Lepisosteus oculatus: one gene and its partners. The protein of the gene in region 2 interacts with the protein of the main gene of each other region in a pairwise test. Links are inferred from orthologs where the notes say so. Each region holds a gene or a part of one and is shown on either strand. Other genes may lie near its edges. The genes, in order: slit homolog 1 protein, hoxa1a, chrd and cysteine-rich hydrophobic domain-containing protein 2.

Region 1 (7,847 bases), on a different chromosome or scaffold from region 2:
CAGGTGTTTGAATACACTTCACTGGAGTAATAGCTTTCTGACATAGCAGACTGGGTTTGTGCCAGACAGCAGGCAGGCAACACCTTACTAAAGTAACAAAATGTTCTGAGCATGTTTTAATAACTCAAAGTCAGAAATATCTGAATTCTCATTGCTTAGTTCAGATAACACTTTTCTGTTTCTACTCTGAAGCAGGCAATAAACAAATAGAAACCTAATTTGAAGCCATGCCCAACTTGTAAGAGCCTATAGGTGAACTTTAAAGTGAAGTTTGAAATAGTGGGATCAGTTTTGTATGAGAAACAAAACTTGAACAATTAACCCCTTACATTTCATAATAACCTTTATAGCTTTTTTCACATCTTTGGCATATAGAAGCTGGAGAGCCTTGTCAAAATCAGAAATGTATGATTGCTATCAACCTGCTTTCTCGTGAATAAGTAGGTAATCTTGTAGTATATGCTTTACTAACCAACCAAAATATTTCCTGGCCATAATAGTCTTAAACTGTGCAATAGAGCACAGCACAGGTCGCATAAAATTCTGTTTTAAGAATACCAAGCAATATTACGTTAGTCATTCAAGGTATTAAACAGCTGTATGAGTGATTGTAGTGAGTGTACCATCCATATGTATTAGTCTGTTTTTGCTGGTGGGGTCTATTACAGCAGAATATGCTTTATTTTTTCTCTGTTATCAGGACCTTAATAATTAGGTTTCAACGTTTGGGTCAAGTTTCTGAAAGCTGTTGTCAGCAATGCATTTTCTAAGCTATTTTTTACTTGAGCAATTTTGTCATCCTAATAGTTATTTTTGTTCATAATGTATGTAAAATAAGTTGTAACATTGTAAAATACATGGCTTTAGTAATCATTTTAAAATAAACACCTTTTTACCCCGTCTCTTGAACATTTTTTCTCATTATCAGTCCCACATTATTTAAACCCTGGAAAAGTATCTGCATACTTTTGCAAAGGGCTGGTGCATGTTTACAGTGTATAAGAAGTTAAGCAAAACTAAATAATTGCTGCAATTGGCTAAATTAAGCATTTTCACGTTTTCAAATTGTACTGATATATAGGTAAGAAGTGAATTTCAGATATCAAATTTTAAAATTGTAAGACTTAAATTATGGGGGTGTTTTCTTTATCTTGATATAAGAATGAAGTTATGACTTCCACAAACTCAAAAAGATGGAGGGAATTCTGCTGGAAGAATTTAACTCGATTCTTCATAACTCCAAAATAAAATTGTCTCGGCTTGGTTTGCCACAACCATGTTGGAGACAGAGTCGTAGTAGACGCAGGGCATTCAACGCATATATTGGTAATGTCCAAGACAAGAAGTGTTGTCTCTGATTAGCAAGACATGTTTAGAAATTCCAAAGTCGTGTTCAGTTCTGTGTCTGGGTAATCTGCCTGATGAGGATGTGGGCAGAGGTAAATACTTGCTAAAAGTATTCTTGGCAGCAAGTAAGAAAGCTATTACACATCAAAGAGCCCCCAAACCAAGAAAATGATTGTTTCAGAGATTTATGAACTGAAAAAGTTAACCTTTCAGTTAAGACTCTAGAAGGACATTTTTTTGAGAGATATTGGGAGAGGTGGATTATTTATTATTTATTACCTAATGATAATGATTTAATGTTTTTAGAAGTTTTTTTTCCTTCACCCATCTTTATCCAGAGCATTATACCCTCTGTCTAAATGCAAAAGAATGATGCGTAACTTTATACTCATTCATATTTGTAATACTTCAGGTTTTGAGATGACAGGCAACTTTTTTTTCTGGTTACCTTTTTATGTTAAAAAAACATAACAAATAAGAATGAGGTTATAAGGTTATCAACCAATATTCAATTCTCAGAATGCTGGATGCTGCACATTGGTGGTGGTGGAGGGGAGTCCCCATTACCTGTAAAGCCCTTTGAGTGGAGTGTCCAGAAAAGCACTAAGTGTAAGCAATTAATTATTATAATTATAATGCTGTTCTGTGTAATTTGAATCATATTGTGCCACAATTGTTTTTATAATGAGCATAGGAGACTTCTTGGATGCACCTTTCTGTTCTCTGGAACATCAGTATGTGACATCTGTCAGAAGGAAAGTATTTCAATACAATTTGCTTTGTTGGTTGTATGCTCTTATGAACTTCAATCATGATCATAGCCGAGTAAAAGCATTGTCAATTTCATCCACAAGGTGGCGGTGTTTAAAAAGTAAACACAATAGCGAATAACATGTTCGTAATACTTTAATTGCCCATTAGAGGTCATATGCTCTCTTTACTTATACGTAATAACTACATATTTCATATTAAAGATCTGAAAATAGCCCATTGCATGCCATTTTTGCACATTACATCTTTTTAACCATCCCAGAATGTGTTGATGAACCCCCAAATACTTATTTTACATTATAAGTTTCAAACAAATGTTCGCTTAAAAGTATGCAGTTGTCAATGTTTTGTTTAGTTTGCCCTTTGTTTCAAGTTGTTTTTTGAGTCGTTTATTCTTCTCACTATTGCTTTCAATGCTTAATTTCCATTAAAGTGGCATGTTCTGATTCGATTAAGAAACTGGAATAATTATGTAATTTGTTTTACGCACACATAGAACATTTTCAATATCAATGTGATATGTGCTTAAGGTTTTTATTATTCAACCATTTTAAACAATATGCCATATATCACATATTTTACATGTGGAACATGTTTTAAATTTGCTCTTGCAAATGAGTTTTCAGGCATTAACAGAACCTTTGTATGAGCGACCATAATTTTGTCATTCCCAGGTTCTGCAAAGCCTTGTCTAAAAAAAAAACTTGAAACATGTTTGTAGTGTTATTAGTGCGTTTCAACGTCTTCAGTGCCTTTGCATTTTTTTTTACTTAGAAACGCACTCGGATTTTGCTCATGGTCGGGAATTCTTTTCTCCGTAAAAAAAAAACACCGTAAAAGCTGTTTTAGGAAACTAACTCCTTATGGGAGCTTGTTGTTATCTCGAGCAGTTGTATGCATTTTTCCTTTCCTCGTATCTCTGGAGCATTAATTATTACAATTATTAGATGCTCCTTTCATTAAATTGTGTGATTTCCATTTGTAGAAAGATACAGCGCGATAGCTTTGGGCGGGAGCACATGCGTTAAACATTTCGTATTAGTCGGCTTCTAGCTGTAGTTCTTTGAGACATTTTCCTGGACAGGCGTCGTTTTTGTTGAAACACAATGGCTAGTTAAGAGTACCTGAACCAACCTAAGCATTGTAAAGGACCAAGGTTCACAGACGCAAGATAAAACACTATGCAACCCTTTCTGAACATAGCAAAGAAATACGGCAAACGTGTTGCCAGCAGCTATCGGATCCTCATTCTGAGTCATTGTTATAAGTGAGCATACCTGCATTATGTTTCAACGTTTTTTTAGAAATCACAATACCTATAGTATAACATTTGAGAATTCACAAAAAATTGAGCATTCTAATTTAAGAATTCTGTCTCCTGTGTGGGGAGACATAATGATCGTGGCCCCCTGTCACAGTTTTTGACAGTCTAAAATAGGACTGCAGTTTATTTTAGGGTGATTGATGGATCAGGCAAGAAAAGACATGTGGAGCCGATATGTTTGATTAATGCTTCTGATTTTCTATGACAACGATTTACTTCGAGTCACTTAAATCAGTGTTAAAGCTAGTCGCGAGCTTGCACAAACCCTACACTCGCAGATGGTTGGTTGGCTGGAATCGGTCATGATGTAGTCTTATTTTCTGCTTCAATTGCACGCCAACAGTATTCGCAACTTTACAGGTGTTGGTTTAGCTCATTGCTTTCACTCTTCATCAGAGTATTTTAACTCACTTTTCGGGGGTCTGGTCCTATCAGCATTTCTCTCAACTATATTTCATTTCCGAAATCATTTCATTCTAAACTTATAAGTGACAGTCGCTATTTCTGCTACAGTACCCAAGATCAGCAGGGATTTTGTAGAAACGCATTTATGCCATTTTCATCAATACTGTTCATGTGTATTCCAGAAATGCCTGGAATTGTGAATCTGGACTCCTAACACTGAAGCCGTGGTTTACACAGTGGGTACCAACAGATGTTTTCATAGTCCATTTCTTTATAAGCTCATCCGGGCTATGTGCAGGGCACTGCTACCGTCTTTCAGTAGGGTGGCGCCCTCAAGACCAGCAGAAGCAGAACAAAATGAAAATGAGTGTTCTGAAGACATGAGCCAGAATGAGCAATCTGTCAAAACCGATATCTAACTGCAGTTCTGTCTCCTCAGCTTGCAGCCGTTCGTTTAATTCTCACTAAAAGGCTGTTTGCTCCTCTATTTTGCGCATCAGTTCATGACCTCAACCCATGCCTTGGGTTTTGCAGCCCTGGTCAGTTTTTACACTGGCAGATCGCGATTGAACTGCCTGACTCTGCCGTCTGCGTTGCTCCTGCATCTCCAGCCCCCCTGGCTGTGGAACCCTTTCCATTTCTCTCACACTTTTGTCTTCGGTCTGCCCAGACTCTCGTGAAAAGTCGTCACCTCTGGAAAACTGATTTTTTTTTTGTTTTCTTCTGCTCCTCTGCCTCCTGCTACTCTGCTGAGCTTATCCCAGGGCTGCTGCCCCTGGTGATGCTGGGGATCCCAGAGGCAGATCCGGGGCCGGTGCTGTGCAGGTTGCTGCTCCCTGTCTGTGGGGGCTGCTGTGAGACTGGATGAGAGCCTGTGAGAATAAGTGTTGAGTTCAGGCAGGGTTCTGGGGAGGGTGGTGTGGTGGGGGGGGGGGGTTAGGTAGGAGGAGTCGAGGAGCTGCTATTTGTAGCTCCTTGTGATGGAAGACTGCTGTGTGTGTAAGAGAGAGAGGGACTGCTTTTTTCCTTTTTTTATTTGCTCTGCTCTGCCCCTATTCCCATTTCTACAGGCAAGCAGATGAAGGCTGGGGAGAAAGGGAGTAGGACGTAGGCACGCAACAGAGCTACAGAGGGGCACACATCTCCATAAAGAAAGAAGAAAAGAGCTTGGTTGGGAAAGGAAAGCAAGAAAAGAAAGGAAAGGAATAAGACGGAGGAGCCGCTGCAAATATTTACGCCATTTAATGAACTTGTTTCCCTGAAGGTCTCAACCTTATACTGCTGTTTTGTTTATTTTTCTGCACATTGGCGGGAGTAGACTTGTCTAGAATAGCGGCTTGGAGCAGTGCGGAGAGGAACTGGTGCTCCGGGATGCCTTTCAGAAGACGCTGCAGCGGGGCTGGTACAGGACTGACCAAAGCTGGGTTTTGGGTCGTCCTGTGGGGCGCCCTGCTGGGGGGCTGTGCCAGTGCTTGCCCGGCACTCTGCACTTGCAGTGGCACCACTGTGGATTGCCATGGTCTGGGACTCAAAGCCGTGCCCAGGAATATTCCCCGGAACACTGAGAGGCTGTGAGTACTTGACTGTATTGTCTGTCTGTCTGTCTAGTGTACATGACTTCAGTGGAGAAATGAGGAGAACAATAGATCCGGCTATCCGGTCATAAGAAAGCTGCTGCTTCATTATCTGTCATGCAAAATGCTCCAGCTGTTAGGGCCAGGTAGTAAGAGCCCAGCTCTGGAAAAAAAAAACAGAAGCAGATGTCCCGCATCTACACATGTGCGTGCGATTTGCATATGTGCTAAAAATATGGAAATGCACTGGGGCAACCCACCTCATATCACACTTTGTGAACAATGCCTGTACCACGCACATCAAAAAGCAACTCTGTTCATCTCTGGGAGTAATTTTTCACAGCTTATGTCAAGTATACTTCGCTCCTAGAGCATCATACAGTCGATTCGATTGTCATCACATCTGATTGATTTCCACACTGTCTCCATTTCGCTGACAAATGCATGTAGAGTAAGGTTCACTTCGGCTTTTGTCAATATTGTAAAACATCTCTTGAGTACATTTTACACTCCGATTGTATATTTAGAAAAAAAATATTTTCAAATTTTCTTTGAATTTCTATGAGGTTCTTTATGCATATCCTTTTCTTAGACAAATTGTAGGTCATGTCTTCTGGAGTTATGCTACAAAACAGTGCAACTGCATTAATAGCACTTAGTCTGGCAAATGATGTAAATTGATTGTAAATTACAATAATGCAGGGCTGTTTAGACTCTTTTGAAGCAGATTTCTTGAAATATGCAGTTCTGCCTTACACAGCTCCACAGCATTTATCCCTCTTCCTGACACGAAACATTTTCTCCACATTAAATTGTTAAATCATGTAGAAAATTACGCAAATCTGTGTTCTAGGTCTGGCTTGCGAGACGGGAGCCCAGACTCCGCTCTTAAGAGAAAGATTTGAATCACTGACATGAACACACTTCAGGATGAATGAACCTCAGGGGCTTTTTTTCATGTTACAGGTCTAGAGCTTAAAATATTCATTTTGCAATCACTGAAAGCAATCCTGTATGAAGAAAAAAGTGTGATGTTACAGGAATAGAACACATAGAATCGTTGGAATAGAATACATAGATAGAATGATGAATTATGAAGTTCTGTCTGGTCTTTGGTATAGCAAGAGGTATATGCTGTATATTATTTGTGCTTCATTGAGGTTCCAGAAGATCCAGTGCAGTTTAATAGAAACACTCTGCTTAAACCAGACTATTCTGTTAGAGGCTCCTGCAAGATGATCATCTTTGTAAAAACAATCACTTGCCTTTTCAATTGCTAGAAACAGAGATATTGTGGGTGATTTTCATATGACTGTGTCAAATGCATTTGTGTACTAGCTCCATAGATGTGTTCATGTGGCAGGTATTCTCGACATAATGAACATTTTGAGAGGGTAATTTTAAAAAGTTAATACTACACAGGAAAAATAGACTACATTACGGTTGTCACACTCAATAACTAGGATGTAAAATTAAAGTAATATTACATTACAGCACCGAAATTCTCTGCAATAAAACCATCTACTTATGTATAAATTACAGTAAATTACATGCAATTTACATTATTAAAAAACCCTTAAGAATCTGAAAGTGTTTTATGTAGGTAATCTCACAAACATATCCTACATTGTAAAGCAACAATCAGTTTAGACAAATGGGAGATTTATTTTAAGTCTTGTCCTTATTGTAGCCATACCAAAATAAAATGCTCTTTGTATAATCTAGGGTGCAGATTATATTATTGTTTCACTTGTAGAAGAGCAATCTTGTAGAAATACAGAAATATATAATACGCACGTGATACTTGTATGTTATATAGAATCAAAAACCTGTTGTTTTTTCCTCTCTTGTCTTGATTAAAGAATGTTTAAAATTTGACCTCCGTGGCCTGCCTAAATAATGTGCCATATTGCATTATTATTAGTACTGGAAAGAAGCCACATAAATTGTAAAAATTCAATCTGCCAACGGTCTTCAGTACTTGGTCCCACGGTTATGATCGTGACATTTGGTGCTCCGGCTCCCTCTGCCCCGAGCACTAGACTGGAGCTGCACAAGATCATTATTCAGTTCTGCCTTTGACATACGAATCGTTACAAACGAGAGGAGGTCATTAAGCCTATTGCCTGTTTGGATGTTAATAGCTAATCGACCCAAGCATTTCATCAAGCCAGTTCTTGAAGGAAAACCAAGATATCAGTTTCAACAACTTGACTGTGTAACTTGTTCCAGACTCCCACAACCCTTTGCGTAAGGAAGTACCTTATGTGTTTAGTAAGTCTATACAGTACGTCAACTCTGTTGACTGTCATTGGCTTTGATTTGTAGAATGGACTTAGTAATGACACTGAGGGAGGTGACTGAGGCCATAAAATATAGAATAGCTAAAAAATATTGATTATTCAGCTCTTTGATGAAAGTACTTT
Region 2 (6,905 bases):
TTATCCAATAGTTTAATGGAATTGTAGAATGACTAAGATTATAATTAAGAAAATGCTCCTCTATAGTATTCGCGCACGGTCTGTAAAAATCTAGTGCAAACAGACTACACATGCTGCCATGCTGTAGCGTGCAAAAAAAAGGCTTCTTAGGATCCGGTCAAAAAGAAAATAAGTATTTTTCTCGGTTTTGTTTTCTCCGGCCTTTAAAGTTAAACATTATGGCCCCTTCGGTGTAGCACTGCAGGCAAACTCCATGAAAAGGCTCGTTCTGGAGACTGCGGTGTTGACTTTCATGTCAGTAGCTTCTGCGACGTCAGATGAAAGGGCCCGGAGACTGGAATTCGACTGGAATTCTTTCTCTCTGCCATACAAACTCCAAAGGGAAGCTGAAAAATATTCGTCATTTTGAGGCTAATGAGAGGCTAATGAGGAGAAAACTGTTTAGCAATAAAATGCGCAGGTATGTGCAGGTAGACTATACTACCTTTATATTAAAACGAACTAAGTTATGATCCCAAATTAACTCCTAACCCTGTTGTGGGAAAAAAAAGTCATTTCTGGTTTGTTTAGAAGCAGGATAGTTTTAATACATATCATACATAGACCCGTAAACTTTACTCGATTCAAATACATTACATGTGTTGTTATAGTTTCTTCGCTTGTACAGAAATATACTTTTACAACTGATAAAACTCAGTGTTAAGGGAGGTACATCAAAGCGCTGTGCATCATGCAGACGTCGTCACGAACACAGGTGTCAAATACAACTTGGTATTCCGAGGTATTTAAAGTGTGCGACTTCACAGGCTCGGGATGAGCCCACTTTGAACATTTCAATAGTAAAACGTTTCAGTGCAATTTCGTTTTATTTCACACAAATAAACACAATTTACAATAAAGTGAGCTTGTCTTCTTTATGAGGTATCTGTTTTTCATTATCGTTTTTTCCTGTATAAAATAAAAAAAATGTAAGATCGCTCCTAAGTTGTGTCTTTCTATACCCTTAACATCTTACCGTCGTTATGTAAAAAGAGATTCTAAAAAATGGATTAAATACACATATTATAACTGCATCAAAGTAATTACATAATTGCAAATCATAAGCTGAAGAGTTTAGGCAAGATCACCCGACTGCAAACTCTCTGCATTTAGTGCATTTCTCTAGATTTGTCATCATCACCTGAAATTATGGGGAAGTTACACATGTGGTTGAAAACAGCTTGCTGACTGCAGTATGTACTGTGTCATCTGTCTTGTGTTTTAATACATATTGTTGTCATTGAAATTCCGATCATCTAAATCCCAGCACTTACTTGCTCTATATCACTAAAACAACATGATAAAATGCGGACAATGCAATCTGCCACATTCCTCCGATGAGTATGACTGGAGCTCAGAGGTGCAGCCGCATGACAGGCTGGTCTGTCAGCGCGCTGCTCAGGAGCTTCAGCTGGAGGGACACGTCTCCGCGGTGGACGCTGAGGATGAGGCTGGAGAAGGTGTCGAAGGGGCGGAAAGGGATCTTTCCGACGCGTCTTCTCTTTCTTCGCTTTCTGCTGCTGCCGACGGAGAACTCGGCAACAGACCTTCTTTCTCGCGTTTCTTTTGCTTCATCCTCCGGTTCTGGAACCAGATTTTCACCTGAGTCTCGTTGAGCTGCAGAGCTGCTGCGATCTCCACCCGCCTGGCTCGCGTGAGGTACTTGTTGAAATGAAACTCCTTCTCCAGCTCCGTCAGCTGCTTGGTGGTGAAGTTCGTTCTCACCGTGTTGGGCTGGCCGGCGAAACCGTATTCTCCAACTTTCCCTGGAAACCAAAAAAAGTGCAGAGGATGTCAGCCTGAGCATCGACATTCGTGTGAGAGAACATCACAGAGGATGTGCGCTTAATGACAAAACCGGGCGAACAGGTGGAAAACACTTTGAGGTCGACTTCCACAGGCTGGGTATAGAATAGGTGCTCCTTGAGGAAACGCACAAGGGTTACAGAATCTCGTCACATGTGCTTTTTGCATGACAACAGTACAACACAACTAAACGATACAGAAATAAACTGTTGAATTCAGTTTTCCTTAAGCGTCGCAGAAAGACACATCAACGGTCAGAAAGGTGCGCAACAGCGTGACACTCACCGGTCTTGGGCGGATTTCTTTTGACTTTCATCCAGTCAAAGGTCTGTGCTTGGGGCGATGTCTCGGCCAGAGGAGAGCAGCAGGGGTCGTGGTGAGAGGCGTGGAGAGGAGACAGGGGGTTCGTGTAGCCGGGAAGGGGCAGGTTCGCCTGCTCGTGGCCGTAAGCGCCGTGCGTGTACGGAAGTACCCCCACCGACGCTCCGGTGTAGCCCTGGTGGTGCTGCACCATGGAAGCCGAAATGTTCCCCGAGTAAACTGCTGGGGCGCACTGAGGGTACCCCGCGCTAGACTCCACGTCTTGGTTCAGTGGGTAATGATTGTAACTCGCACAGAAGCCCTGTGTGGCATACCCCGCGCCACAGCTGGGGTGACTGGGGTAGGTGAGGCTCAGGCTGCTGTGAGGCTGGTAGGCGGCCGGCTGGTGAGGGTGGTGAGGAATGCCCCCTGGCGAGCCCCTGCCCACGCCAAAGCGATCGTCAGCGCCGCAGGTATTAGTTGTGACAGAGCACGACGGGAAAGTTGTAATCCCATGGTCTGGGTGAAAAGCCCTGGAGGAGCAGGATGCGGTTTCTCCGCTGATCACAGGGTAATCTAAGAAGGAGCTCATTGTAGCATTGTCTACCTGTCACGACTGGTCAGGTCTGAAGCGATGACCGTGCTCCAGCCCGGGTGACCGTGCCAACTTGCCCAGTTCGTCCATCGGGCCAGCACAGACCGATATGAATGAGGAGCGGGGGTCACGTGACTCGTGTCCGCCAGTGGCTGCACAGCGGTGCTGAGATAGCCTTCTGCTGGCGGTGATAGATCACCGGTTTACAGACATTTAAATTCTCCACGCTCCTCTATCAAGGTGACGCACACCAGCCCGTAATGTATTGCTAGTTCAAACAATGGGCGAGACAGAGTGCAGCGGAAATCGTTCAGGACACTTCTCGAGACAATAAACAGCCCATGTTCCTGATGGATAACGTTTCTTCTTTTCTCGCTTTTCCATCCCGAAAGCACAGCTGTTTCAGCATCACTTAAGCACAAGGTAAGAAAAGCGCCATCTCTGGTTGTGAAATGTTTTCTGTTTAACTGAACGTATTATTGTAGTCAACATCAAGTCTAAGATTAAATATGTCTTTGGGGCACATTTATAAAGTGGGATTTGGAATTTAGCATGTATTTCACGTTTGCCTTCTGAGTGTTGTAGTGTGAAAAGACAAGGTGAGCTCGATTCAACATTTAGCTGGGGGTCGATGCTTGGATTGAAGTTGCTGCTCGTCAGCATTCGAGAGCCGGCAGACAGGTCGCATCCTATCAGGTGTCTGTGTGTGTTCACAGCTGTCGGCATGGAGATGAGAGCCTTCTGTAACCAAAGTCAGCGATGCTATCAGAGCGCTCTGAGCTCCGCGCATCACCTTCTCCGGCGGCTGGAGGTGAACACAGGCTGGACTACAGTCTAAACCGACACGTCTTTCATTCTACGATATAGGTCTTGGTTTCCCAAGCCTAGCCCCGGAGGCTCGCAGTCCTGCTGGCTTTCATCGCAGCACAGCCGTCAATGGTCTAATTTAGCTACTTATTGGCTTCGATGGAAGAGTTGAGCAGATTTTCTCAAGTCTGGAGGTGCCGCTGATCTCAGGAGACCTAGAAAACCTTCAGGATCGCGCCCCTTCAGGACCGGCCTGGGAAACCCCTGAAATGGGCGGAGCCTGAGAGGGGAGCTGTGACGCGGTTCATCTGCTCATATCCGCTGGGTCTGTAGAGACGAGCCAACTTTGAGAGACCAACCATTCAACTCTACAAATAAGACTTTATCCCGCCTGGTGTGCGGTTTCCCTCACAATATAGCTGACGTGACTCTCTTCATTCGTTTTTTTTTTAGCACAGCTTCCGAAACCGTTCCTCTAAATACTTAATGCTTTTTAGGACGTAATTTCTCTTAATTCGATAAAAAGTTGTAAAGGGGCTATGTCGGTCAGACAAAACCATCTAAACTGGCATACAAATGTCTAAATGGCACGAGCAACAGCTGAAGAAGAGTAATATCGAAACATGCCACCCCACAGAAGGTTTCCTATAATAGCGTAGTGGTTCCAGAATGGAATATTTTAGCCATTCACCCCTAAACTTGTTTGTGCGTCAGCATGATTAAACGTATCCATCGATTAATCGATAACGAAATTACCCGGCGTTAATTTAGTTATCCTACAATGCACATTTATTCTATTGCTGTTATCATATACCCAATATGTATATTTAGGCTTTCCCGATTACGTGGTGTTTTGTCCACCGGCCCTGTTTCCACTGCGACCTTACACAAGGCGAGACTCCGTGGTCAGCGCTGTGCAATAAGATGGCGATCTCGCTTGAATCCAGGGATTCAGGAAAGGTGGCTCTTTCACAACGCCCAGCTCTGTCTGCAGTAACTACACATTTAAGCTTTCAAATATTGCCAGATGAACGTATGTCGTTTAGTACGTGTGCACAATCTGCACTGTTTTGTGTTTTTTTTCACATACAAAAAAATAGTATACCTTATAAGATAGAACGCACAAAATGGAAAGGCATGTAAACTTACCATCACAATAAAAAAAACCCAGAAATACATTAACAGGCCTGTCCAGCTCTGTGAAGTTTCCACATCGCCCACGTCTTTAAAATGCGAATTGTTGACAGCCGGAGTTGCGAAAGAAAGGAGGTATTGTTTCAGGGGCACTCTGATACAATTCCTTTCAAAACCGTCGATTCGCCAGCGTGGGAGATAGTCCCGAAAAAGTCTTCATTCTTTAAAGGTTTCTAGATGTTTGTGTCCAGAGAAAATTTGCTTTATGGCAACATATAATTGGCAAAATGTCACGTTATTGCCTATGTGGTTTACAGTTTAATAGATTTAATAATGTTCGATCGATTCCAAATTAGAGGAAAATATCATCGTAATAACAAATTACAATCTCTGGATGAGGCATAGAATGTGGATAATAAAGAAGAATAATTTTATTGACTAAATAGAAAGGCTCACTATAGACACCCTTTTAGGAAAAACTATATAAAAATAATCTTAAATATACATATATTTTGGTGCATAAGACAAACTACGTTTATGTCGATTTGAAGTCCATTGTTAAATGTGAACATAAACTTTTAACTAAACAAATCGAAGAATATTATATATATTTTAAAAGTGCACTTAAAGAGATTGTAACACCCGCTCTGAGTTGAGCAGAGAGCATCTCGGTGCATCGGCGGCCGTTCTCAGGCCGCTCTGCTGGTTTAAATGGCAATAAAAATGAATTACTGCCGAACGCCTACAAAGTTAATGCTTTTGGCTGGGAATCCCCAGTCCCTCCAAATACGTAAGAGGTTTTTATTTGTGCATGTGCTCCTGCAATTGATCTCTTTGATGACATTCTCATTCATAAAAGAGAGTTTGATTTATGAGTTTGGGAAGAATTTCATCCAGGCCTTCCAGCCACTTCTTACGCAATTCCATCACGTTTTGCAGAGTAATACAAACTAAGCCAGGGCGCTTTCTGAGAAGCCGGGCTCTAGTCTGCATAAAGCCGCTTTTTGCACAAACTCCAGCAATACGAAGTTTGATTTCCACAGATACCAAGTGTAAGCCGTAACAATAACTCTGTGCCTGTCTTTTAAAAGGACGAAGGCTGTAAACTACAGAAGGCTACGATACAGTGCGTTTTAACTTAAACAATATTAAGATTATTCAATGTTTTATTTTAAAGTGCAAAATTACCTATGCCTGTCCAAGAGTTTTCTATTTCCGACTATGCACCGAATGCAGCATCCCGAAAGATTCCTATATGAAACTATATTTAATTCATTTAGACATTTCCCCGCTGGAAGCTCTTTCTAGTTGTTCGTGTTCAGCTACTGCCTGAGCTCACCCGGCAGAATCCCATTCCACCACGTCCTGCGAGATTGAAACTCGGTGAAACGGTCTTTTGCACTAACTGCGCTTTTAAAGTTTTTGTTGTTATGAAAGAAAAAGAACATGCCTGTAAAACTTTGAAATTGCTGTTTGTTTTAGTAAATACTTTTTATCTTATTTTAGGTTCGGGAACGAAGAATAGTTTTGGGTTTCAAGAGAGAGACACAATGGAAAACATTATATTATTATTATTATTATTATTATTATTATTATTATTATTATTATTATTATTATTATTATTATTGGTGATGGTAATAATAAGTAGTTTTAGGAATTACACCCAAATATTATCCTGTACAGATTATACAAATTATATTTTTGAAAACGAATTTGAAAATTTGACTCATAAATTTAATTTTAAAAAGTTAATTGCTGATACATTTAAATGTATACTTTACTGTTATTTTTCTAAAATACGTTTAACATTGTACCTTTCTTTATGTTCATTTTTGATTTGTTGTGGAATAATAAAATATTCTGACCTTCCATTTTGTTCAATCTCGTGTTGTTTGAGAGGCGGGTAATATAAAAATACATTTTAATTTTCATTTGGACCTGGAAATAATGCAGTGACACAATTATTGAAAGCTACCTGTAGCAAGTAAAATTTATTCTAACAAAATATTCATGACAATGTACCCGAAAGCGATACAAAAATAAAAGAACAGAGACTAAATTCTATTTTTTTTTACAGAACCAATGTATTGCTTTTGGAGAATTAATGTTTAAATGGTTAATTGTAATTATTGCCAGACTAAACTTTTACAAAAATTAGAGCGTGGACTTTTATCTTCTGTACTGAATTAACTAATTCATTCATTAATAAACAAAATGTACTGAC
Region 3 (7,259 bases), on a different chromosome or scaffold from region 2:
GAACACAGAGATGTTCCTCCTGTCTTGCCAGACTAGAGACGCGTGGCGCACAGTGTAAGGAATACGAAGAGCTAAAGAACACCTGAAGAGTACAAAGTTCCTTGGTATTGTGTTATTGTAGTTTCTCTACTGAGATGTATTGAGGGTGCATTTACGGGGCATAGCTCATCTGGTGGGTTGTTCAGCCTATTTCCCGCGAATTTAATTCACGCTTAAATAGAACTAGTCCATATTGAATTGTATTAACTACATCCGATAAACCTAAAATGTATACTTGTGCAGGTGATCTTTTACAATGGAAGACCACCCCACAACTGCATATATCAGTTGTTGTTGTTTTTTTGCTCTGATCAGCACGGTGATCCTGCTACGGACTGTTAGATATTTGTTCCGCATCACATCCAGGTCTGCAGACTCTCTTAGGTGCTGAACCTTAACCCCAGCCAGCAAGATCCTCCGTACCCCCGCTATCTTCTCGGGCTCTTCGTTTGCACCTCCGGCACAGACACGCCAATAAACAGGATCTACCTGCCAGACTAGGGCGAAAACACAACGAAACCCACCACTAGCCTTTACAGAACCTCAGACACCGAACTTCCTTACGCCTCGTTTCATTTTATAGGCAATGTAGGGATTTTCACTGCGCCCTGTCTACATACTAACTCGAGTCAGTGATTTATACAGCAATGGTCTAGTTAAAACTCTGAAACCATGAAATAATTCTAGAAAAATAGGCCTAAAAGGAATTGCAAAGAGATGTCCCGAGACCTGTGATATTTTTTCAACAAGCAATTAAAACACGCTTCGCTGAAGTAGTCCGCTAGCATTCAAGTGTCTGGAACTTATTAGGTCCTGTATTGTTGGTCCGCTTGACAACAGTTTATTAAAACCATCAAATAATTTGCCTTCAAAATTTCTCTCAGAAAATACATCTCATTTTGTTGGGTACTTATTTTATATTTATGGGTTTAGTTCAGTGCTTTGGAAACATCTGTGAAAAGCGAAAAACACAGCCAGTCAACTAATTCCCCGAAGGAGGCCAAATCCTTTGCTATGAACCTCATAAATCTGCGCAGACATTAACAATTAAAAGTTACAAATGTATCTTGTTTAAATTTACATTCTTTAAAAGGTGTGCGGCCTTATCTTAACGCATCTCCAACGCCCAAAACTGGTCACAGATAATCGATTTTACGAGAATGTAATGTTTTGGCACATTAAAAATGACTTCAATCGCATTTTGTTTCTGCTTAATTTAAAACACTCTTTCTGTTGCACTAGAGGCGTAAGGAAATTATTGTTAAACCCCCGCAGTATTTCAGATCGTGTGATCTGAGTAACTGGCATCCTGTCCTGCAATCCTTGTTCTCCTCTGAGTGCTGACACCATCAGCTATATCCAAGAACCTTCACACGCTACCGCCATCCACACATCCTAACAGAAAACCTTCCACATTCCGTGGTATACTGACTAATTGCATTCTGAGTGCGCAAGAATGTTCTATGTGATACACGCTCCGAACAAAGAATAATTCAAATCCACAGCAACACGATCAACTTCCGCCATACAATTTATTGCACCGCTGAAGTACAAAACACCGTCCTAACTCTAAGATATACATAGTCTCCAAACCTTTTCAAAATAAGATAGAGGGAAATTGCAGAATGGGGGCACCTGTAAGGTGTTGATCTGTTAACCACGTAATCTGTTCAGTTAAGAGGAATATAGACCATGGAAACTGAAATTTGGTCAAATTCATTCGATTTTATTAAATTATTTAACAAATCACTCGCTTAATCGATAAAAGCGAAAATGTTCCAAATCTTTAGAAGTTGGTGATTTAATAAGATGTATAAAGCCTCCTGGTTTTGAAGCATTTTCGAACTATTCAGCTTCTGTCTGCATTTCAGTCATGAAAAGGAAGAATACACATTTCGGCTCATTGTATTATGTGCGACTTGCGTTATTTAAATCTTTGCATTATCTTCAAAAGGCGATTTGTTTTCCATGAATGGAAAACACCTAATGAATGGCTTCCCTAATGTATTAAATGAAACCAATAGTTATCACTTAATGATTAAATGCAAACAAACTATCATCGATGCTATTCACTTCCCAACGTGACACAAATGACGCACAGGTGCAAATTTTCTCGGTGACAACTTAACGCACTGTATGGGCACATGCGTAAAAACTGACACTTAACAATCACACGAACGAGCAAATTAACAATAGCCTGTGCTCATATTTATCTAAATTACTTTACATACAGGATATACATACATACAAATATTGCCTATCTAGAGCTATGAAAATATCACTTTCAACCTTACAGGCGCAAACGTCTTTGTTTTCAATGTAAATGGCGCTTTGTCATTTCAAATTGCAGACAAGCTGCCGTTTGCGTCTTGACCTTCAGACAGGTCAATAACCAAACCAAAGGAGTTCTATACACAAGCTCGAAGTATCCAAGTACCCAATCACGTTTGTGTGAATGTTCTGCTTTGTGCAGATAGCTGAATTCAATGTTAAATTTGATAAGCTCGTCTCAGCTGTTCTCGAGCGGATCTTTCCTTAAAATAACACCTGGTCTTCACATAGGAACAAAGTGATTAATGCTGTCGCCCGCACGAACTTCCCAATCACTAACACTGACAAGTTCCAAACGTTACATCCTTCTGTTTCTTTTTTATTCCATAAACCTTAGTTGCATTTATATTGTGCTTTTAAACCATTAAAGTGTCCCCCGTAATAAAAGTCAACAGATAGCTGTTGAAACATGATTAGCTGTAGCTATTACTCTATTATTAATTACTAATGGTAAGAGTAAGTTGATTGAAAAACTGAAGACGCAAGAACACCATCATAACAAATATGAAAATTAACTGTAAAAATGTTAAAATGGTAAGGAGCACTGGTCATTCCTGTGGTGCGATTGTGAGATATGTGTTTAAGGGAAAGGTGTCGGCTCCAAACGACAGCTGAGCAGAGTTTCTTCTGCGCTTTTCGCGGCTCTAGCTTGTAAAGGACAAGCATACCGGAACCGGAGAGCCCTCTGTCTGTTTGTGGTGCCTTATCTTTATTGAGCAAACCGCTCTGGGTGTTTTGCATTGGGATGGCGAAGGAATTAATGAATATCCGGCGTTTATGAGTCTGCCCTGCTCGGGAGGCACCGGACCCGATGATATATTACATACATGCTCACTCAGCGCAATTCCAAATCCGGGAACACATTTCACGTCATTTTTTCTTTATTCTTTATTATTCTTTGGTGTGGTTTGAATTGGAAAACGGACAGTGTCACCAAAGAACGGAATGCAAGGCAGAAAACAGGTTCAGTCTTGCTGAAAAGTGACATTTCGCGGTGAACGGTTGATGAAGAGCTTGACAAGAAGCGAGCACCTAACACAAAAAGTGACTATGGTGATAGTAATGATGAGAAAGTGAGATCGCAGCTGAACCTTCCAAGAGCGATCAGTCAAGTCCCCCCCGGCCCAAACTTCCTGCGAAAATAAATCACGTCGCGCAGTTTATATGAACTTGAACCGCAGGATGTCGAAGCGGCTTCTGGTAGAAAGCCAGGCGCTAAGCACACGTGTTGGCGTGGAAGTTCTTCCCGGATTGTCTGTTCAGACCGATAGGTGCCATAACTCAAAGACAAATAAAAAGATACGTTGAAATTCCCGGTCTGTGTTCTTGCACTATAAATTAATGGGATGTGGTGGAAGGGGCGTCCATCAAAGCAACGATAATCGTGATCACCATAGGAATAACGTTACGTATTTATTAATAAGGGCCGTTGCAACACAGTTTGCATTTATTGAGCAATCAAGTTTCTGTCTGCAGAAAGCAGACCGCCTCTCGCAAGGGTGAACGGGATAATGAAAAGACGCTGAAAATAATTACGTACTCTGAGAAAAAATGCGTTTTAAAAGTTCTTTATTTGGAAGGGGTGCTCAGTGTAAGGTATGGCCCCGTGGGTACTCCGGGACTCGATTCACCCCGTGAATTGCCGACACTTCTCTCGTGGTACGGGGTGAGGTCAGAGTCCCTTCTGCGCTTGGTTTCGGGAGGTCCATCACCCCCAGACTCTCACACACTCACACACACCGGCTCTCTCTCTCTCTCTTCGCCACCCCCCCGCCTAACTCCCCCAGCCCCCCCAGTTGTGGGCACTTGTGTTGATTTTGTGGAGTTAGGCGGTCAGGACGGTATAAAACGGAAAGACACCCTCACTGACTCTTCAGAGGCAGGTTTCAGCAACCAGGCACACACGATCCGCCCACAATACCAGTCTAGTCTGCGGCTTCGTTTCTAACATCGTTTTTCTTTCATTTTTTGATATTTGTCTGGATAGGTTCTGGTTTTGCTTCCACTGTTGATCTTAAATTCCGTCTGCAAAATAAGCGCTTTCTGGACGTTTTATTCCAGCACCTCGCTAACAGGGTTTTTGAACAGAGTAAGGTAACCCGAGACTGGGATTTTTTTTTCTCTACTTATTAATTTCTTTTTGCATGGTGTAAGTAGGATCAACTCCACTCGTCGACCTCCACACTGCGTCTTGCTTAAACGGACCTTCTGCTGAATGGTTTTACCCGGGTCACCTCTGCATGCAGCTGTAGCCGCAGGGATGCGAACTTGCTGGTCGGTCGTTGTCCTGTGTCTCCTGAGCTGCGCGTGGCTGGAATCCGCACGCGCTTCCCGACTCAAGTCCCCTGCGCTGCCCATCCAATCGGAGAGGGAACCTCTACCTTCAAAAGGCATCGCAGGTATCGTGTCTCCTGTCCTCCGTAACCGCAATGTTCATGCAGCATTCATCACCTTTGAGCCCAGACATCGTAGGCCAGAATCCCACTGTTTTTCTTTAGATGTAATCACTAAATCTGGAAAACAGGAAATACTGTTCGAAAGCTGTTTATTCCAAATTCCATGTATTCAAAATGGAAACCGCATTCACAAAGGGTTTCAGTTACTATTCATGTTGAATTGTTCTGCGAGTCCAAATATTTATTTTGATATAAGCTGCGTGTTTTTTTCTAGATCTCATCTAGCACTGCCAAAGAAGACAGTATGTCCGTTTTGTTTAAACGTGTAGTTGTAAACCACTCGATACTCTTTAAAGTGAGAGAGGGAGTTGGGGATGATGTGGGAAAGATTTACAAACCATTGCTTGAGGTGGGGGAACTGTTGCTTGTTTTTAGACGCCAAAGATAACAGTTCAAACTCTATGTGTTAGTGCTTCGGGGATACTAGTATTTTCCTTCAAGTGTTTATCATTTACATTACGTGTTTGAAGTTTGTCCTTTGTATTAAGGCATAAAGCAATAGTACAATCGTATCTTATTTAAGCTCTGATGGATTCCAGGTCTACATTAATGAGAAAATAATTAATTGTAGCTCCCGTGTTCTCTTCTTCGTATTGTCATCCTCATCCTTATCATTAGAATCAGCAACAGTCAACAAAGTCTTACAGTTATTTCACATTATACTGTACATTTTCTATCATTAAAACATGACTAAATAACGTTACAAAGCCAACCAAAACTGGTAACGGTGCTATGCGGTGTATTAGTCAACATTTAGAAACCTTCCTTGATCCTGGAAACCTTAATCAATAGAATTTCCATTACAGTCACTATGATTCCTTCAGGAGTCACGGGGCTGCAGCGCTGCCAAGCAGTGATTTATTTCAAATGTTTGTAGCAGGAATATTGTCTTCAGCCTCCGTCTGACTCGACTTGACCGTTTGAAGTAGGCACTTAATGAAAGAATAATGGGAACCAGCTTGTTAGCAGCTACGGCAACCGCATAATATTCGCGTCAACAGTTGTGAACCCCGAGCCTCGGCGGCAAACCCGGAGCCCGCGCGCTGCGAGTGGTGCCAGCTGAAGCCCGGCGGGCTGGAAAGGCGAGACCGCCGGCGTGACCCGTGTCAGCTGGGTCCGGCACCCCTGGCTTCGCTTTGCTAACCACACTGTCTTGTTCTGCAGTTGCTGTTCTGTTTTCCGTTTTTTTTCCTACCGAGAAAAAACATGCATCCAGGAAATTCGGGAAAATTGCACACAGACAACTCAATGCCCCGAGGCCCCATAAAACACTGAATTCTATAGGAAGATTCCTTCATGTAGCTATTATTAGTTTTCTGAGTCCCTTATCATTTCCCTGGACAGTCGTCTACTACAAAGCTGAGATTTATCAGAAACGTTGAAGAAACCTTTGAGCATTAGGGTGTCTCTGAGACTTAGTCCTTAACTTGAAAAAAATAATAATTCACTAAAATGAATCCAGGCCTTGCGTTGTCTGCGACGCATCCGCCGATACAAGCCAAATTCTTCGTCATTCAGTCTGACGCCAATCTACGAATTTGCACCACTAGTCTTACGCTTTGGTCCAGCATTGTTAACACGGTTTGTATTTATGGGGAAAGATCGCAAAGCACGGCTGCAGCCTCCTTCCATTGGCCCGCTGTGCCCTAAGGATTTCCGTGTTGCACTTGATGCCTCGATACAGGGAGGTCGGTAGATCGCGTGTTATACGTCGGCCCCTTTTCTTCCGAGGGCAGGTCAGTCTTTCAACATTACACCTGCCGTCAGTTCCAGGTACGGAAAATAACAGCCGATGCTGCGTACATGGAAATACACTGTAGCTCATAGTGATGATAGACGAACAAACAAAAAAGCGCAGGTCAATTTAAATACACAGAGGGCACTCAGAAGTAGTTTTCTGTTCGTCAAAATAAAGGAACGCTGTTGTTGCAAAGACTATACGACTAGTGTTGGGTTTGGAAAAGCACTTCTCAACAAAGACCAGACTACGAAAGAGGCTGGCCTGTGTCAGTTGAAATGTTTAGATAACATGTGAAAGGTGTCTTGCTTAAAGCGTGTACCCCATTAACCCAGCTACAACTTCGTGGTCTCTGTATAGTGCACGTTCTCCCATTACGGATTCCTTTCCAGGCCTCCTTCACATCTCCCCTGCTGTGATAAATCGTCCCGGATTCCAGTGTTCCGACGGGCTCAGGAGGAACTTCTCAGTAACTGAGGGCGCCTCGATCCTGCTCTCTGATTCGCTCTTGTTTCGTTTCAGGCTGTTCGTTCGGAGGGCGGTTCTATGAGCTGGAGGACACTTGGCATCCGGATCTGGGGGAGCCCTTCGGGGTGATGCACTGCGTTATCTGCTACTGCGAACCAGTAAGCACAGCGGCGTAGTGTTCAAGCAGTTTTAACTGAAGCTGTATACTGTTTTCCGAGTGTTTCCTA
Region 4 (8,006 bases), on a different chromosome or scaffold from region 2:
CAATCAACGTTAAATGTGAAAACTCTTGCGGAAAAAAGCATATCATCACAAGTCCCGTTCATCGCAATTATTGGACTTTCAGAGCCTCGTCTAATCAAAGCAATTGAATGCTTTTATGAAACCTAAACTTTTAAATTTAAGTAATGGAAGGACAAGCCATTGGTGTTGATTAGGAAAACAGCTCAAAATAAGCAAAAACAAAAGTTTCAGAACACACAAGCTTTCAGAGCTGTATTTTCTTAATGCAAAGAGAGGGCCATGTTCCTGTAGGCTATATGGATCAAGCAATGCAGTAAAACAATTTGGCTAGTTATTTCAACAGAATCAAATCTGCAGATTGGTAGGATTATTCTGTTCAAACCAAGCTTACTATCCAATTCTCTGGAGGTCTTATTTTAAGAACACTAATTCTGAAATTAATTAAAGCACAATTACCAGTAATACTTCTAGCTAAAAAATGACCCTTCTAAACTAGCTCCCCTGTACAGCACCAGGGCTGTGCACCTCTCCTGGATCTTCTGTCACAAATTCCACTTTTTAACCAATTTACCAGTTAATATTCCTTTCTTTAGAAACAATGTATTTTGTTACACTGCTAGAAAAGAGTAAACAGCTAATTCACATTCAAAGAGCAGGTACTATCAAGCCTTCAACACAACACCTTCATGCTCAGGGTCGTATTTACAAACTGTCTGTCTAAAACTGCTGTACAAACATCTTGTCACTCAGGAAGTACTAAACATGCCTCCCAATAATGTTTCCTATTATTATAACCACTTCATTAATACAACTTATTTTGGGCGAGAAGAAAGCCAAGCTTATTTCAAAGTTTCAATTCGCCTAACAGAATATCCACTGCACCACACTTGAAAACTAAAAAACCATTCAGTTCTGAACAGAGACCACAAGGGTCTTGATTCACATTCACAAACAGTACAGGTCCTGACAAAGTCAGCCAGAAGAGCTTGCCAGGACCAGCTATGAAGCCTGAACCAGGATGTACAAGTGCAAATGCAGAGAACAGCGCTGCTCCTAGATCACAACCACATCACACAGGTCAGGTGGGTCAACTCTACATGTAACTGATCTCAAGTTCATACGTGGAAAATAACATTACTGTTCCTGGGCTGCCTTTGGCTGATGTGTTTAGCGCCCATTTGCACCCTCTTGCATAGCTGGGTATTCGGCGTGAACCTGCTCCTGGGGCGAAGCTGCATCAAGCAGTTCAGCTGGAGCACCTTGCTCAAGGGGACAACAGCAGTGCTTCGCCAGGAGGCTCGAACCCGCATCCTTCCAGCCACAAGTCTAGAACTCTGACTGCAGCTCCCACGACCTCCCCAATTCCACCGAGACATTATGGGACAGGTTTGATGGGCAAGAGTGGAAAAATGTTTGATCTGAGAGGATTCGGAAAGATCTGTGAGGGTTAAAACAAACGCACTGTGCTAAAGAACACTGTGTGGCTGTGGTTGCCAACAAAAGGAGATTGTTTTTATAAGCATTTTTGGCAGACTGAGTTTTTATATTAAAAAGCTTATAAATGAAAACTGACATTTATTCTGATCTTTCTTTGTTTCCATATTTCTCGCAGCTTTGACCACCAGTGTGTGCTTATTTACAGTAGACAGATACACAGATGCACTCACACCCATGTGAACATGATGTAATAACTATAAAAGAAAATAAACAGGTTATTTTTTTAGTAAACTATCTTCTAATCAGGAAGGACTAATTCATTATTTGCTCTTTACTGCTGCTTCAGCACATATTCCCACTTAATAAAAACTTCTGCCATGGTTAAAAGCATAATGTATGCTTAACCCACAACCCCTAGTGTCTGGAACAGCACAGGCATTCAACCAAAAGAAAAATTCGGGAGAAGTCAGTTGAAAAGGTAAAATACTACAGCTGCTATATTTTTCCTTCTCGTATCATACTTTCACAGATTCTTGAGTTAGCTAAGTCACCGTTAACATTTTCATCTTCCCTTTACTAGGAAACAGCAGCTTTTATCAAGATCTTTACATCTGAATCCTTACATGAATCCGCCAACCTTCACCTCTGCGGACATGCAAACTACCGGCAGAACTGTGGTGCACAAACTACACTTGCTGGAAAAAAGGCACCCGGGCTTGGACCACGGCAGGACTGTAACACGAAGGACGAAAACACTTCCAAACAAAACCTCAGGCACCGCGGCTTCCTGCCTGCGCATCACCCCTCCCCAGAGCACACAACACGCTGAAGCCCGACTGCCCGGCTGCAGCTGCCAAACGGGGCGTCTTGGCAAGAGGCGCTGTGGGCTCCCGGACTGGGGGGACCCGGGCCCGGCGGGCAGAGGCTCCCCACGCCGCGGCGGCGCACTAGAAGACCGTGAGCCTGGTCCACCCCCACCGACGCGCTTCTCGCACTCGACCCCGCACAGGGCCTACCCACACCGGAGCCCCGGCCTCTGCCGCTCGGCCGGACCGCCTCCGGCACGCCTCTCCTGCGCCCGAGACCCGCCGGCATCGCAGCGGAGAGGACACACCGCGGCCAGACCCCCGCGGCACCCCAGAGCGCCCCTCGCCCGCTGCTCACACAGTGACGTGGCCGGATCCGCGCACCACCACCGGGTCCGGCGAGTACTTGAGCAGCTGCTCCTCCGCGGCCCGCTCCTCGTCCTCCTCCTCCTCGTAGATCTCGTCAAAGTCCGCCATCATCGCCCGCTCGCCTGGGCCCCCCCGGCGCTGCGCTGGCCCGAGAGAAGCGCACACGGTGGCAGAGCGACCCCCCGATACCAGCAGCCCCCCGAGAAACTGACACCCCGAACAAACTACCCGGCGAGCGGCGAAGGCGCAGCCTCACAGCTCGAGAGCAAAACAACAACATCCGCCGCCTCGCGAGAGGTTGCGTCACGCGGCGCGAGAGCGGAGCGGAGCTCGCGGGAGGAGTGCGCAGGTGCCGGGGTCACGCGCTCAGCGCTGCGCGGCTCCGCTTGCAGACTGAAGCGCACACACGCTCACGGGGTGACCTGAGACCGTGGACGACGCACGCCTTGGCGTGGGGGCCGGCCAGTCCTGCACTCGGCAAGACTGCCCCCCTCTCACCTGCGGCATCCAGAGCAGGGGGTCGTGGGCAGGAGGGTGTTTCTGCGTGGGGGTGTCTGGAGTCTAAGAAAGCCGCCCACTTCAGCAATTCAGGAAGATCACAAGCACCAGAGGGAACAAGATCAGTCACCACAGTCATGCCCCTCTACAGCACACTAAGCGAGAAACCTCGAGTCCCACTCAGACTGATGAAGCTTCGTGTTTACCTTTATATAGGTCGTGTTAACGTCGTTGCGAGGCTCTGATCTCTTTAAGCACTCGTCACCAATTAAATCATCCGTCTGTTCATCTTCAGTCCAATTACACACGTGGGAGTTGCAGCGCAAATATCTACATTTTTTATTGATTTTTACTAATGATTTAGAAATATAAAAAAATACTAAAGCAAATCATCACAAAATAAGGGAAACATGATGGTCAAATAAATTTTGTACATAAACATCAATGCAATATATATCATATATACAGGGAGGTCTATGGCTCACAAGAGCTCCCAGCAGAAACGTATGTTTCCTGCATAATCGGGTGTAAAAATCACCAAGAACAGAGGTAGCTCATTTTTTTATAAGAATACGACACTCACGCCTGGAAACCAAAACACCAGAATTTGTTTTATATTTTATTCTCACAGTCTGCTCTGAGTTGCTCTCAGGTCTTCATGCATGTCCTGGGGCTGTGCCTCTGCGTCCCGTCACCCGGTGCTGCTGGTGCTGCTGCAGCTGCCCTCCTGGGGGGCAGCAGTGAAGGGGCCACCGGTCCCCCCCTCTCGGACCCAGGTCCGTCTTTCCGAGGAACAGAGCTCTGGTGCTTGACCTGGAGGGCAGACGTGCCCAGAGTTGGGTCCCAAACCGCCAAGTTACTTCATTTAACAGGTGCATCTTTAGAGACCGGCGATTTAATGATGATGTACAAGAGCTGCTGGACTACTGGTGAAACAGCGGTGATGTCTCGGTGAGTGATCACGCCCTTCCTCTTTCCCCTGAACACTCGAGAATACTGCAGCCCCCAAGGGGGTGATGTCTCTGAGCTGCCGTGCAGCACAGGCATAGTAGCAGCCATACACATTGGACAGCATACTCTCATCACAACGCCCTCCGGCTCACGTGAACTGGGATACAGCAGAAAGTATTCCAGGCATGTAATAAATAGGAGAGAAGGAGGACTGTAATGTGACATGAATACATAAACCTGTTTAGCAAAACCAGAGCCCTCTGTTATGTCGTACTGCCATACACAGACAAGGAGCTCAGCTTTAATGTATTAATTAGTGATAAAAGCAAAATACTGAATTCATAAATCTGTGTGAATAAGTTTTATACCATGATCAGCTATACAACAACATTGTGCTTCAACACAATTGTTTGTCATCTGAAGAAATATAAATGATTAGGACCACTTTGTACAATAAAACAAAACCATAAACTACATTCTATATCCCAAAATTACTGTTTGTTATATGTGGAATTTGCCAGTGGTGGAAGAGATGGAATGGAATGTACTGCACCTTTGTGTTTTACAGAGGGTGAAGAGGCTCGCTAGTCTGCCTAGCTAGTATAATGCCTTCAAATCCCACAGGCATGTGATGCTTGTATACATACACACGTTTAAATGTTAAATTAACAGTTAAAATGTCTGGAAGTACCACATATACGGTCTTAAGAGAAATTTTGAAAGGGGTTTCCTTTTTGTTCAGTTCTTGATAGGTACATGTTCATAAATTTGTAATTAAGAACATAAGAAACATCATACAGACTTCTGGCTGTCATTTCTAACTAGATTCCATCCTGAAATTTCACTGAATGATCCTCGGGGATCAGTTCAACACCTTGGAATGGACCAGCACACAAAGAAATATTTCTTCAATGCAGAAGGTCTGTGCAACAGTTTCTTAATGACGTCCCTCTGGCACACAGGAAGGAAGAAGGCAGGTCAGAGGGGGGCTCCCAGGGAGAGGTGTGGCACCTGAGTCTGGCCTCCTGGGGAGCAGAGCCAGGGGGACAGATTCCTGCAGCCAAGGCACTGACTCTGGAGCATCGGGAATAAGGAACCACAATGCAGTGTCACCGAGAGTGTGTCTGCATTATCTTCCCATTGAAATTAAGACAGATTTTCAGCACTTCGGATCAGTAAGTCAAGCAAGGAAATTGGTCTAAGGGCTGTTGTATTCTTCCCCGTTACTCACTCTCATTTACTAATAAATGTTTGCTTAGTCTTATGGAAACATATAACTGGGTATTTGGAAAGAGCTTTAATAAGTAATTTGTGCTTGGATCGCCGTAAGACAGTGACTATCCATCTTGCCTAATGAAGCAAACTTTTGGGGAGCTTTTGAGGGTCACACCATCAAGTCGATTGATACTTCTTTCTGACTTCTGCCTTTTCATAATTGAACTACAAATTCAAAACACATTTGCACAGTGAATACCTCTTTCTAGAAACACTGGAGTCCAGCTTTTCAACTAAACCCTTCTAATCCTCTGCAGATAGATTCCCATTAGCCTTTGTTTCAGTCACTTTCCAATTCGAACAATGGGGACTATTCAGTTGCTTTGTTCATATTAAATTATTTGTCATACTTTCCTACTGAATTTGTCTGATTTTCATTCGCATGTGGAAACTGCTTTATTGTAATGCCAATAAAATTACGTTTTATTAATATCTTGGTAACAAGAATCCGTTTCACAATGGAATAATTTTAGTGTTGCTCAACATACATGTACATGAAAGTTAATGTATAATTTCAGTACTTTATTTTTGTGCAGCTGTCACAGGATAGGATATAGTTTACTATAGGATATGGTTTTATTAGATATATTTTCACCTGTTTCAGTGACATTGTTGTAAACATGAAATCATTTCCATTTGTTTGGTTAGAAATCCTGATTTCCAACATTGTACAATTTAAGAAGCTCAGGATGCTATAGGTATAATAACTTGAACTTGAACTTTATTGCCATATGTAACAATGGAACAATGGAAATAGTACCATTAGTATAATAGTATAATATATAGTATTAGTATAGTATAATAGATACAACTCAGAAGAATTTTTAAAGACCGATGTGTCCCTGGGTAGGCATATACAGTACTTAGCTTTTTTTTGTGAAAATATAAGATTACTGCAAACTGTGTGACTCTACACTGCTATGAAATAAACATGACTGTACTGTATGTGCTTGCTCTCGTCTACAGCACTACATGAGTGGTTTAAAAAAAGATGAAAAGGCCAAGACTAACCGACCAAGTTCCCTCTGGAACTGCAGGGTCTGTAAGGGTTTATAGAGCTAAAAACTACTGCTGGTCACCTTAAGAGTGATCTGCGTCACCCCCTGATGGTGTGGCCATCCTGTAAGTAAAGCTTTAGCCTTTTAGATTCAAAGTATTTTCATACATATTGAAATCATATCTGTTAGGAATTCCCCTTCTCCATGTTTTATTCTATTTCCATCCATCTATCCATTTTTTAACCACTTCAACCAATACAGAGTCACAGGGCCACTGGAGCCTTCCCTGGCAAGCAAGAAGCACAAGGCGGGATACACTCTGGATGGGACGCCAGTCCATTGCTGGCCAAATGACCAATATAATTTTCTCAAAGTGTTTTCTGAGCTCTGCCAGCTGGTGAATAAAGTTCCCAAAAGCCTAGAAAGGATGTACATCAGGGCCCAATCCCAATTCTCTGGAGGTGAGAGACAAAAATGTAGCAAGAACATCACTTTCCACAGTATCACAACCCGGAAGCCAAATACAGTGAAATCTTGGCCAGATTTACTATCACTTCTATGATATGGGTTTGTCAAGATAGTTTGCCTTTCCTGGCCAATTGCAGTTTGTTGGTACCTTGGACACTTGTTATTCAAATTTTAAAAAGTGGTAAAGAAAATTCAGTTAAAAAGCTTTGGATACACTTTTGTGTTTCCTTATAAGAGCATGTTAATACCATCTGAAAATAAGGATCTCTTGAAAAGGCTTCATCTCTCTCCTAATGAAGGAGAACCATCAGCAAAAACATGAGCACATGCAGAATAAGTCCATTCAAATAATAGATTCTGGAAAGAAGTGACCAACACACTCAGCTGAAAGTTTTACAAGGTAAACAACCTGAATGAAACGATCTTGAACTCTGAAGTCAAGTTCTCAAAACCTGTTATAACATTTAACATTCTGGAAAATATAGTGTATGTTTGTCTTGTTTTTTATGAAAAAAATGAAATAATGTATTGATAATGTAGATTAAACAAGTTTAGTCCACTGCATAAATTGTGACACAAACTTTGTTTTCATTGATGCTATAAAGCGAATTTATTTTCTCAGAACAAGGAAAACAGAGTGGGCATTACAGCTGGTATTCTGTTTAAAGAGATAATTGTTCCTGAAATGTCACTCCTGTGGTATTATGTTGTCCCCTGGATCATTGTTCATTTCTGTTACCATTGAAGACTATTTTGAAGACCCGAGTGTTTCTTTTCAGTTTTTGGTATTCATGATCAGTTGCCTAGTAACTAATAAAAGAGAAATCACGCGACTATATTAGCCAAGATGTTCCACGGGTTGACTTACCACAATGCAACTTTGAAAAAGGCGTCCATACAGCTTAATGATGGTCTTTCAACAAGATATTAATGGATTTCTTCACGGTATCGCCAACATTGAGAATAAATAGGTATCACAACGATTGCAAAATGCTGAAATATGCCCACGGTAGCTTAGTCCGGCTACGCATCACGGTAGCTGAGGTCTTCGCGCTTGTAACACTCGAGTGTGTTGCTGTGTGCGGCTACTGCCAAGTGCTAGACGGCAATATTTATAAATGTGATCAATCAAGCAGTGTTTTTCTCATATCTAAATGTAATTTCAAGGCCTCACTGTGTTAATCTGACCGCTTTTTAGAGTTATAATTGAAATGTTACTAATGCC

What was found.
Region 1: the proteins of hoxa1a (region 2) and slit homolog 1 protein interact in binary tests that used the Homo sapiens proteins (3 or more experiments, as listed by UniProt). The link is inferred for Lepisosteus oculatus from reciprocal best matches to the Homo sapiens genes HOXA1 and SLIT1.
Region 3: the proteins of hoxa1a (region 2) and chrd interact in binary tests that used the Homo sapiens proteins (3 or more experiments, as listed by UniProt). The link is inferred for Lepisosteus oculatus from reciprocal best matches to the Homo sapiens genes HOXA1 and CHRD.
Region 4: the proteins of hoxa1a (region 2) and cysteine-rich hydrophobic domain-containing protein 2 interact in binary tests that used the Homo sapiens proteins (3 or more experiments, as listed by UniProt). The two-hybrid records come from large-scale screens. The link is inferred for Lepisosteus oculatus from reciprocal best matches to the Homo sapiens genes HOXA1 and CHIC2.

The regions. Positions count from the first base shown.
Region 1 is NC_090699.1:44,405,572-44,413,418, reverse strand, and holds the start of slit homolog 1 protein, read left to right. Parts: upstream 1-4,833; 5' UTR 4,834-5,218; coding exon 5,219-5,418; intron 5,419-7,847. UniProt on the Homo sapiens protein: Thought to act as molecular guidance cue in cellular migration, and function appears to be mediated by interaction with roundabout homolog receptors.
Region 2 is NC_090705.1:603,474-610,378, reverse strand, and holds hoxa1a (homeobox protein Hox-A1a), read right to left. Parts: upstream 2,844-6,905; 5' UTR 2,738-2,843; coding exon 2,131-2,737; intron 1,806-2,130; coding exon 1,447-1,805; 3' UTR 515-1,446; downstream 1-514. UniProt on the Homo sapiens protein: Sequence-specific transcription factor. Regulates multiple developmental processes including brainstem, inner and outer ear, abducens nerve and cardiovascular development and morphogenesis as well as cognition and behavior.
Region 3 is NC_090708.1:18,749,281-18,756,539, reverse strand, and holds the start of chrd (chordin), read left to right. Parts: upstream 1-4,238; 5' UTR 4,239-4,585; coding exon 4,586-4,769; intron 4,770-7,086; coding exon 7,087-7,190; intron 7,191-7,259. UniProt on the Homo sapiens protein: Dorsalizing factor. Key developmental protein that dorsalizes early vertebrate embryonic tissues by binding to ventralizing TGF-beta family bone morphogenetic proteins (BMPs) and sequestering them in latent complexes.
Region 4 is NC_090696.1:78,484,701-78,492,706, forward strand, and holds the start of cysteine-rich hydrophobic domain-containing protein 2, read right to left. Parts: upstream 3,017-8,006; 5' UTR 2,703-3,016; coding exon 2,581-2,702; intron 1-2,580.